2 linked regions of the Sus scrofa genome follow. The protein of the gene in region 1 interacts with the protein of each later gene in a biochemical or structural test. Links are inferred from orthologs where the notes say so. Each region holds a gene or a part of one and is shown in the gene's direction. Other genes may lie near its edges.

Region 1 (4,517 bases):
CTCCACTTTTACTCTCTGGAAAAGGGGCAGGCATACTCCAAACAAAGCTTCTTAAGTATCTGCTCATATTTGGAAAAACTCAGTTTAGAAGCCAGAACTCAGTTTTAAAGCCACATCATCAAAGATTCTGCAACCAAAAACCAAAGGATTATTTTTATTTAAATTATACATATTTTTAGTTAACATAATGCAAAGTTCAAAAGGCCCTGGACTTCCTGTTGTGGCTCATCAGAAACGAATCTGACTAGCATCCAAGAGGACACAGATTCAATACATGGCCTTGCTCATTGCGTTAAAGATCCAGCATTGCTCTGCTGTAGTGCAGGCTGGCAGCTACAGCTCCAGTTCTAGCCCCTAGCTTGGGAACTTCCACGTGCTGAGGGTGTGGCCCTAAAAAGCAAACAAGCAAACAAAAAAAAACAAAGTTCAAAAGGCCTAAAAATACATAAAGGGAAAAATCTCCCTCCCATCCTGTCTCCCAACTCACCAGTTACTCTCTCCAAGAAAGTGATGTTACTGCTTTATTTTGTATCTATAAAATGCATTTTATACACATGCAAGCAAATATGACTATATTTCCCAAACTTTTTCACAATTAATAGCAAAGTATACACACTGTTCACAACTTCATGGTATTGGGTTGTATGGATGTGCCATATGTTAGTGAACCAGTCCCCTACAGATGGGCATTAAACTTTTTCTTTTCTTTTTTTTTTTTTTTAGGGCCACACCTGTGGCATACGGAAGTTCCCAGGCTAGGGGTCAAATGGGAGTTGCAGCTGCAGGCCTATGCAACAGCCACAGCAACACCGGATCTGAGCCGCATCTGCAACCTATACCTGCGACCTTCGCTGCAGCTTGCAGCAACACTGGATCCTTAACCCACTAATAGAGGCCAGGGATCAAACCTGCATCTTCATGGAGATTATGTCGGGTTCTTAACTAGCTGAGCCATAATGGGAACTCCTTGTTTTCAATCCAGGAGTTCCTTAAGTGTGGTGCAGTGGGTTAAGGATGCCACGTAGTCACTACTGTGGCTGCTGGGGCACAGATTAGATTCCCCACCCAGAAATTTCCACCTGCCACAGGCAAGGCCCAAAAAAACCCTTGTTTTCAATCCAATCTACAAACAACCTTGCACACACATCATTTTACATGTGTGAGTATATACAAAGGATAGATTTCTAAAGATCATTGTTTTTTTTTGTTGTTTGTTTGTTTTGTCTTTTTGCCGTTTCTTGGGCTGCTACCACGGCATATGGAGGTTCCCAGGCTAGGGGTCCAATCGGAGCTGTAGCCACCGGCCTACACCAGAGCCCCAGCAACGCGGGATCCGAGCCGTGTCTGCAACCTACATCACAGCTCACGGCAACGCCGGATCCTTAACCCACTGAGCAAGGCCAGGGATGGAACCCGCAACCTCATGGTTCCTAGTCGGATTCGTTAACCACTGAGCCGCGACGGGAACTCCAAATTTCTAAAGATCATTGTTAAGGAATATATATATATGCATTCATCATTTTGGTGAATTTTTCCAAGATGCCCCCAATAAAACTTGTACCAATCCTGCACTCACAATATACAAATCAGAGACAATTTTAGACCAGAGATAGGATATGAAAGATGGAGACACTACTGTAAAATTAGATTGCTACCCACTTAGCTACAGTTTTAATATCCCTAAAGAATCAAGCCCCCCTCAAAAGGAAAACAATACAATCAAACACAATTGGTTTGGACATTCGCATGAACTGAATCAAGGAACCTCATTCCCTTCTGAGCCACTGAGATAAGTGTACCAAAATCAAACAGAAGCAAAAATACTAGCACAACACTCAGCCTCCGAGATTTGTGAAAGGCAGCAGAATCGGAATAGGGGAGATGAGGATTCCTGGGACTTGCAAGAAGACCCTTCGGAATCTCCCTCGGAGGGGCCGTGAGTTCCTTCCACTAAACTGTCCTGAAGTGCAAGAAGCAGAGAACACCCAGGGGTGTTGAGGCCCGATTGTGATGCAGAGAATGCTGAGGTCCCAGGGTCGCAGGGCTCAGAGGATTCTCATCACAGCTCGAAAAGGCCATTGTGGAAAATGGACATGAAGACACTGGAAGCCTCCGTGAGTTTTCTTGATGTGAGAGGGTTCCTGAATACCTGTCAGGTAAACACTCTCTGCAGTCAGTTCTCTAGCTTCGAAAACTCTGGAATCCTCTCAGTCCACCGCGCCTGGGGACCTGCGGAGCATCTGGACCAGTCACCGGGTGGGGACCTGCACCGCCGTGTTCTCTGGAGCTAGCCCCGCACACCTGCGGGTCACGTGACGCGGCCCCTCACGTGACGCTGGGTGGTCGTGACGTCATCACTGCGCGCGGCGACGGTGGGGACGGCCTCGGGTCGGGGCGGCGGTGCTTGGGCTCCTCCCGAGCCGCCCGCTAGCCCCGCGCCCACCCCGCGGGCCAGAGCGCAGGTGAGTGGCCCGGAGGCAGCGGCTAGCGCCTTTCCGTCCCCTTTCTCCCGGTCGGCCTCTCCCAGCCGGGCGGTGTCCTGGCGACGAGCGCCTCGCCCTCCACCTGAAGCTGTCGGGGAGGACTCCGCTTTGCTCTCCAGCCTGCAAGCCCCCCTCCCCCGCCCCGAATCTGACCCAGCCCGCGGCGCAGCCTCTCCTCTAGGGAACTCGCTGGAGCCCGGGCTAGGTCAACCCTGGATCGGGGCGCACCCTGCGTACCCCGGCAGAGAGACCGCGCCGCGTTGGGGTCGAGTCCGTTTGACAGGTGAGCCCTGTCGTAACATCCCCTCCCCACCCCGAAGGTCTTCACGGTAAACGGGCGTCTGTGCAGACCTTTCTCACATCTCCGGAGTTGAAACTGCATTGACTCAAGGACGACCTTTTTGAAAAACATCGTATGCTTTGCTGTAAAATGGATCTTGCGGAGTTGTTGGACGGATAACATAGAGTGCCTATAGAATAATATGCTAACTATGAACAGGAGTAGATGAGAAATTAGGATCTCGTTTTTGCTTTCATATCAAATTATGGTTGTGAGTTGTGGACTCTTGAAAACCAGTTGTTTTTTTTTTTTTTCCTTGGATCATTTCAGAAAGTTCTGGAGCCTACATAAGATAGGCTTTCTTAATAACCACCCCATTCATTCTACAGAAACTGTTTTTGAAGCAAAAAAAATTAGTGTGACCAAAGCCTGTCAATCAGGAAAGTACTTCTTATATTGATTTGTTAAGATGTAATCTGTTATTTAGTTCATTTAATTGGTATGTGCAGGTGAACTTTACAAGTGACTGGCTATGGCAGTGAAATTAGTAGCAGAGGTCCTATCCTAGTAAGTCACTCTTTCAGTATAGAAATACAAATACCGATTTGTTAATTTTGCTGAACCTTTGCAACTAATGTAGAGTGGGAAGCCCCTTCTGTAGAAGAGCTTCAGTAGCTTTAGTGGAAGTCCACAGATAAGTGTGCATGGATTCCACTGTTCAGTATAGGTATCGGGTCCTCACTTGAAGTTTCACTTTTTGAAGAAATCCGGATATATTTGAAAGTCATCAAAAATAATTATTTGCATTATTTTAGAAAAAAGTTTATTTTCACTAATACTTGATCTTTATTGCTCTAGGTTGAATACACAGTTTTTCTTTTCTTGCACTCTATTACTAAACATTTATTGTACATTTTCTGGGAAAGAAAAAAATATATAAATCAGAATCCCCACCCTATAAATATTTACCTACTTAATCTACTTGAGGATATTAAAAACAATGATATCACACCCTTAAGAAATTCTGTCTTTTCATTTTGTCACGTGAGACAACAGCCTTGTGAAGATATGCAGGAAATGTAGGGTTTTTTTCCACTTATAATGCAGTTGTATTGATCATAGTATTTGTCAAATGGTTGGGGCACTTGATGATTATGGAATTCAGAGGAAGAAGAGATCATTTTTATTTAGTTTTATTTTAGTTTTTATATTATTATTTGTTATTTATTTATTTATAATTATTATTATTTTTTATTATATTTATTTTAGTTTTTATTTATAGTTAGTGGCTAAATTGTATTCGTAATGCCAGGAATAGGAGAGCTCCCTACTTGAAGATTTTTGAGTCTGATGGAGCCTCCTTAATTTGTAGAGCTAACAGTATGTTTAGCTTCCCAATTCCTTCAAATATGGTCCTTGTTTTTCTTTTCTCTTGTAGTTGCAGCATCCAAGGACCCCTTTCATCCTTTCTCCATATTGCTTGATGGGAGGCATTATGGCCCCCAAAGACATAATGACAAACACTCATGCTAAATCCATCCTCAACTCAATGAACTCCCTCAGGAAGAGCAATACCCTCTGTGATGTGACATTGAGAGTAGAACAGAAAGACTTCCCTGCCCATCGGATTGTGCTGGCTGCCTGTAGTGATTACTTCTGCGCCATGTTCACCAGTGAGGTAAGTGGTAAGTTATCTCCTCACAAGTGGAGCCCACACACATCACCTTGTAGTTGCCTCACTTCGCTGAATAAAA
Region 2 (4,624 bases), on another chromosome or scaffold:
TTGTCAATCAAAACTTCTCATCTTCTAGATCAATTACCTAGGGAATTTTTGTCTCAGGAATAGGTTTTTTGGAATCTATTGCACCCAGCTAGCTCTTCTCCCCTTCTATTTTTGTCCCATTTACATTAGATCTTGACAGTTCAATTAAAACTACAAAACAAATTATTAGCGAGTAGAAAATAATTCCTTATTCTCTTAGGAAGAGATCATCCTGAGGTGGGGAGATGTATTTGCATAACTGCACAGGCCTTTTTTTAAACAAACAAAACTTTGAATTGCAAAGGATGAAAAACAAAATGGTTAAATTTTCATGCCAAAATAGATAAAATGTTTTCTTCTCATTTTCTTTTAGATTTGTAAAGTGACCCAGATTACACAAGAAGAAACTTTGGTTCCCTTCCCCTCACATTTACAAGGCTGGAACTAAAGATTTTAGCAGTTAAGGAACTCCACAGTGAGTCATCTGATAGCTTCCAGTATAATAAATTATTCTTACCAAGTAGATACTATGCTCACTTTCTTTTACTTAACCTGTTTGGTGTCAAGGTTTAAACATAGCATATTAAAATGATTATACTCTTTAAAAATAATGGACACTTTAAAAATTATTTTAAAATGTGTATGTAACTAAATAGAAAAATCCCATGAAAAATATCTGTACACAGGGGTTAAACATGACAAAAGCTTTTGCTGAAGTTTCTCTACGCCCACACAACTTAGTGCGGTTCAAGTACCATTTGTTATTTAGACCTGTCATTCCCAGTTGACTAGGAAATTTAATGCTTTTTAGCCACTGTTTTAAAACTGAGGCAAATAAAACCTGGGTGGTTTATTTGCGGGCCTAGTACCAGCACCTGTGACAGGAGTGTTCTTGGCTAAGAGTTTTAAGATAGAAAAATCAGCTTATGTTGTTATCCACAGGCTTTAAATCAATATCATTGTGCCTTTGACGCTAACCACACACTGGTGAGGTAAGCATCCAGTCACAAAAGACCCTTTTTGACGTCCAGAAGTCATAAAAGCCTCAAGCACTCCTGGAGTCTAGGCTGAATTTCTCCGCTGGCATGTTTGGGAACTGGTCTCTTCCAAGCTGTGTAGTATTAACTTGCTCTTCTGGCGGCTGGACGACAGCTGATTGGTGACTCTTCGGGGCGGACTCATCTCCACCCCCAAGCCCGCTCTTCTATCTCTCGGTCTAGGACCATCAGGACTAATTTTGGGGTTTTCTTTAGCCGGTGAGACTTGGCAGAACAGGCTGTAAAAGAAAACGAAGCAGAGGAGGAGCAAGAAGTAACCCCTTTGGTAAGAGTCATAATAAATGGCAATCCACCTCTGAGATGCGACGATGAGCACCCTACTTGGCCACGGAAACCACAGGGACAACTGCCCTGGGGCCAACTGTCCGCCGCGCCCCCAACTGCCCGCCCGGTCACGATCACGTGACGGGGGAGCGGCGCGCGCTGGCCGCGGCTCCGATTGGCCGGCGGCGGGAGCGCGGGGTTTGATGGGAAGGTGTTGGCCGGGCCTCCAGCTCTGTCAGGGGTGGCTGCTGCCTGCTCTGGAGGCGAGCTCCGTGGTGGCGGCCGAAGGTGGCAGAGGTGGACGCTAGCGCCGGGCTTTGCCCGCTTCTTGTTGAAGGTAGAGGGCTCAAAATGAAGGCCGGTGGGAGAGTTCGGCAGTGGGGAGGCGCTCTGAGCTTTTTCCTGGGAAATACTCTGCTGGTCCCCACGCTTGCTTCTCCCAGGCGCCTCCGCCCCACGCGGAGTGGCCTAGGAGCTCTGTGGCGGCGGCTAGTCGAACTCCTGCCCGGCTGCTCGTTCACCCAGTCTCGCCGCCGGATCCCCTTATTGTCCCAGCACAGTGGCAAGGGTGGCCCTGGAGTGCTGGAGACCCCTTTCTGTCTCCCAATGGGGAATTGGTTCCCCAGCCTTTTCTCGGAGATTTCGGGGTTGGGTGGGGCGGTGACTGGGACGAGCTGAGCATTGACTCTTTGGCCCACTTCTGTGTTTGAGAGAAAGGTCAGAAGGTTTTACACTAAGCTATTGCTTTGAGTGGGTTCTTACCCATGTGGTCTTTTTCTGAGTTGTGCGGCGGTGCCGAGAGTTGGAAAGATCGTGAGGGACCGAAAACTGTCAGTGTCATGCTGCTCGGCCCATCCTTGTGGGCGTGGATTGTGCGCTAGCTACTTAGAGAAGCCTCTGTACCTCTGTTGTCCTTATTTGAGCGACGGTGGGCGGTGTAAGGGGTGGAGGGAAGGGCGAGGTTTCGTGTGTGTCATGGACGAGGCAGAAGGGGAAGAACAAGAATTAAAACAACAGTAGTTTTAATTCTTGAACACTGCGTATGGGATTTGAGAGAGAGCTGGGATTAGCGAACTCAGTTTTGCTGATGGTGCTCTCACTGTACTAAGTAAAATCTGAGTCACAGAATTTTCCACGTTCCGCTTTTCCCAGTAGGCTTCTGTTTTGTGGCACCTAGTGTCGATTGTTTTCTCTTTTCCCTGTGGCCTGGGTGTCACCATTGGCAAAATTGTCGTCACAAAATTCAACAGCAGTTTGTATGGATGTGAGTAAGCTTGGTTTCAGGCATATGTTCAAACTGGCAGGGAATGCTAATCTCTTGTTCTCATCGACTCTCATATCTTCATTTTAGAACGAAGTCGATTTTGAACAATTTTCTCCTTTTTTTTGGAACACATTTTTTAAAAAACGAGTGACGCTTTTGAAATTAGAATTTCAAGTTTTCTCTGTCATCTACTGGGATCAGCCCAATGCTGTTAAAAACTTAGTGTTTATATATATTATTAACTTGAAAAAATGTAAGAAAAGGAAGAAATTATATGGCTTACTACAGGTATGATTTATTACAGAAATCTTTTAATCAAAGAGTCATTTTTTGTAGTATTTAATTCAGAATGAACATTGACTTACCATGAAGACTAGAACTTAATCATTATATAATAAAAGTGCTTTTAGAGCTGTATTTCTTTTCAGTGATTTTAGTTTTGAGTGATAAATGTGGTTTGGGATATTTCAGAATTGTCTTTCAGTTAGGATATTTGGAAGTTAGTGTTCTAGAATAGACACTTTTAATCTCAAGTTGAATAGTAAAATGCGTTGTAGTGGTGGTGTTGATGGTGACTGAATAGTTTCTACTTAAGTTTGGAACTTGATAAACATAAAAGTAAACTTCCTTTGCTGTTAAAGGCCTACGAAGTTATTTTTAATGAAGAGTCTTCAGATTATTTTGCTTTATTTTTTATACTGGAGAAAATGAGAACAATACAATTTCAGTTAAAATGCAAACTAATTTTATTTTCCAGTTTTAAAATTATGAAATAGGTCCTTTATAAGAAGTTAGAAATGTGTTCCATATGAGAAGTATTGCTGTACTACATGTGTTTTCTGGCAATAGTAATAATAATGACTATAATTTATTATGCACTTATTTGTTGGGCACTGTGCCAAGTGATAATGTAATTTCTTGTAATTCATAGAACAATTCTGTGAAGTGTACATATTTTCACCACTTTACAGACGCTGAAACTGAGGCTTAGAGAGTTTAGTTTACTGAAGATCACATAGCTAGTATGTGGTTGAGTCATATTTTGATTCCAGGCCTTTTTTATTCCACTATTTCGAAATGACTTGAAGTAAGCTGAAGATTTAAGAATAACATGTCCGAGATTCTGACACCTAAACCTGAATGTGAATAGCAGTTAGTAGAAAACATACAGATAATATGGTGAGCTTTATTACTTATTGAAAAACACGTTAGATGCATCCAGCTCCAAAGGTCATGTGAAGTCCCACTGTAATACCAGAGTGGAATCACTTGAGATTGAACCATCTGTCCACTCAAGGGCAAGCAAGTTGATTTATGCTTCAGAAAGAAATGCTAGTTATTTGATTCCCATGTATTTTCCATGTTTTGAAAGGAAGCAGAAATGGACTAGAAAACAGCAACAGCCACAACAGTAAAAACAATTTGTATCAAGAAATTAGTATGTCACCGGCTGTTGTAAATACTTTAGAATGCATTATGTCACTTAAAATTTTCAACATTTAAGAGGGCTGTTAACTATCACTCTTTTGCATATGAAGATAATAAATAACTGAGAGATTAGGTACCTTATTTACCCAAGGTTTCATAGTAATGGGCCGTAGGAATTGGAGTTAAGATGTTTGAGTGGCGAAGTGTTTGAAAATAGAAGAGGTATGAAATCAAAGGAATAGAGAAAATAATGAATTTATTTAATTTTGTTAGGCTTTCATATTTGTTGGAAAGTACTACGTTTACATGTGCATTATAGTAAGTCAAGCTTCTTTAACAAACGCTGGAATCTATAGAAAAATTTCTGGAACAATGAGGGTTGATTGGCTCTTTGATTATGAATATGGCATTGACTATTACCATGGTTGTTGTTCTAGAGGGCAAATTTAGAAGCACAATTCCCTCCTTCAGGGATCTTAAAGGGCAAGGCATAGTTTGTTTCATTAACAGCAAAACAATTCTCCAAGCAAATAATCAATGTCAAAGTTGCTATTAATTACAATATATGTATACATTTCCTATTATATGTATTTTAAAAGTGATATGCAGTAAACAAGTAGAGGCAGTGCTT

Evidence for each region.
Region 2: the proteins of KLHL12 (region 1) and LNPK form a complex in vitro, tested with the Homo sapiens proteins (2 studies listed by BioGRID, with this or other methods). The link is inferred for Sus scrofa from reciprocal best matches to the Homo sapiens genes KLHL12 and LNPK.

What each region holds. Positions count from the first base shown.
Region 1 is NC_010452.4:24,899,951-24,904,467, reverse strand, and holds the start of KLHL12 (kelch-like protein 12), read left to right. Parts: upstream 1-1,486; 5' UTR 1,487-2,087; coding exon 2,088-2,156; intron 2,157-2,346; exon of another isoform or gene 2,347-2,766; intron 2,767-4,201; coding exon 4,202-4,441; intron 4,442-4,517. UniProt on the Homo sapiens protein: Substrate-specific adapter of a BCR (BTB-CUL3-RBX1) E3 ubiquitin ligase complex that acts as a negative regulator of Wnt signaling pathway and ER-Golgi transport.
Region 2 is NC_010457.5:81,802,571-81,807,194, reverse strand, and holds the start of LNPK (protein lunapark), read left to right. Parts: upstream 1-1,490; 5' UTR 1,491-1,638; intron 1,639-2,063; exon of another isoform or gene 2,064-2,288; intron 2,289-4,624. UniProt on the Homo sapiens protein: Endoplasmic reticulum (ER)-shaping membrane protein that plays a role in determining ER morphology. Involved in the stabilization of nascent three-way ER tubular junctions within the ER network.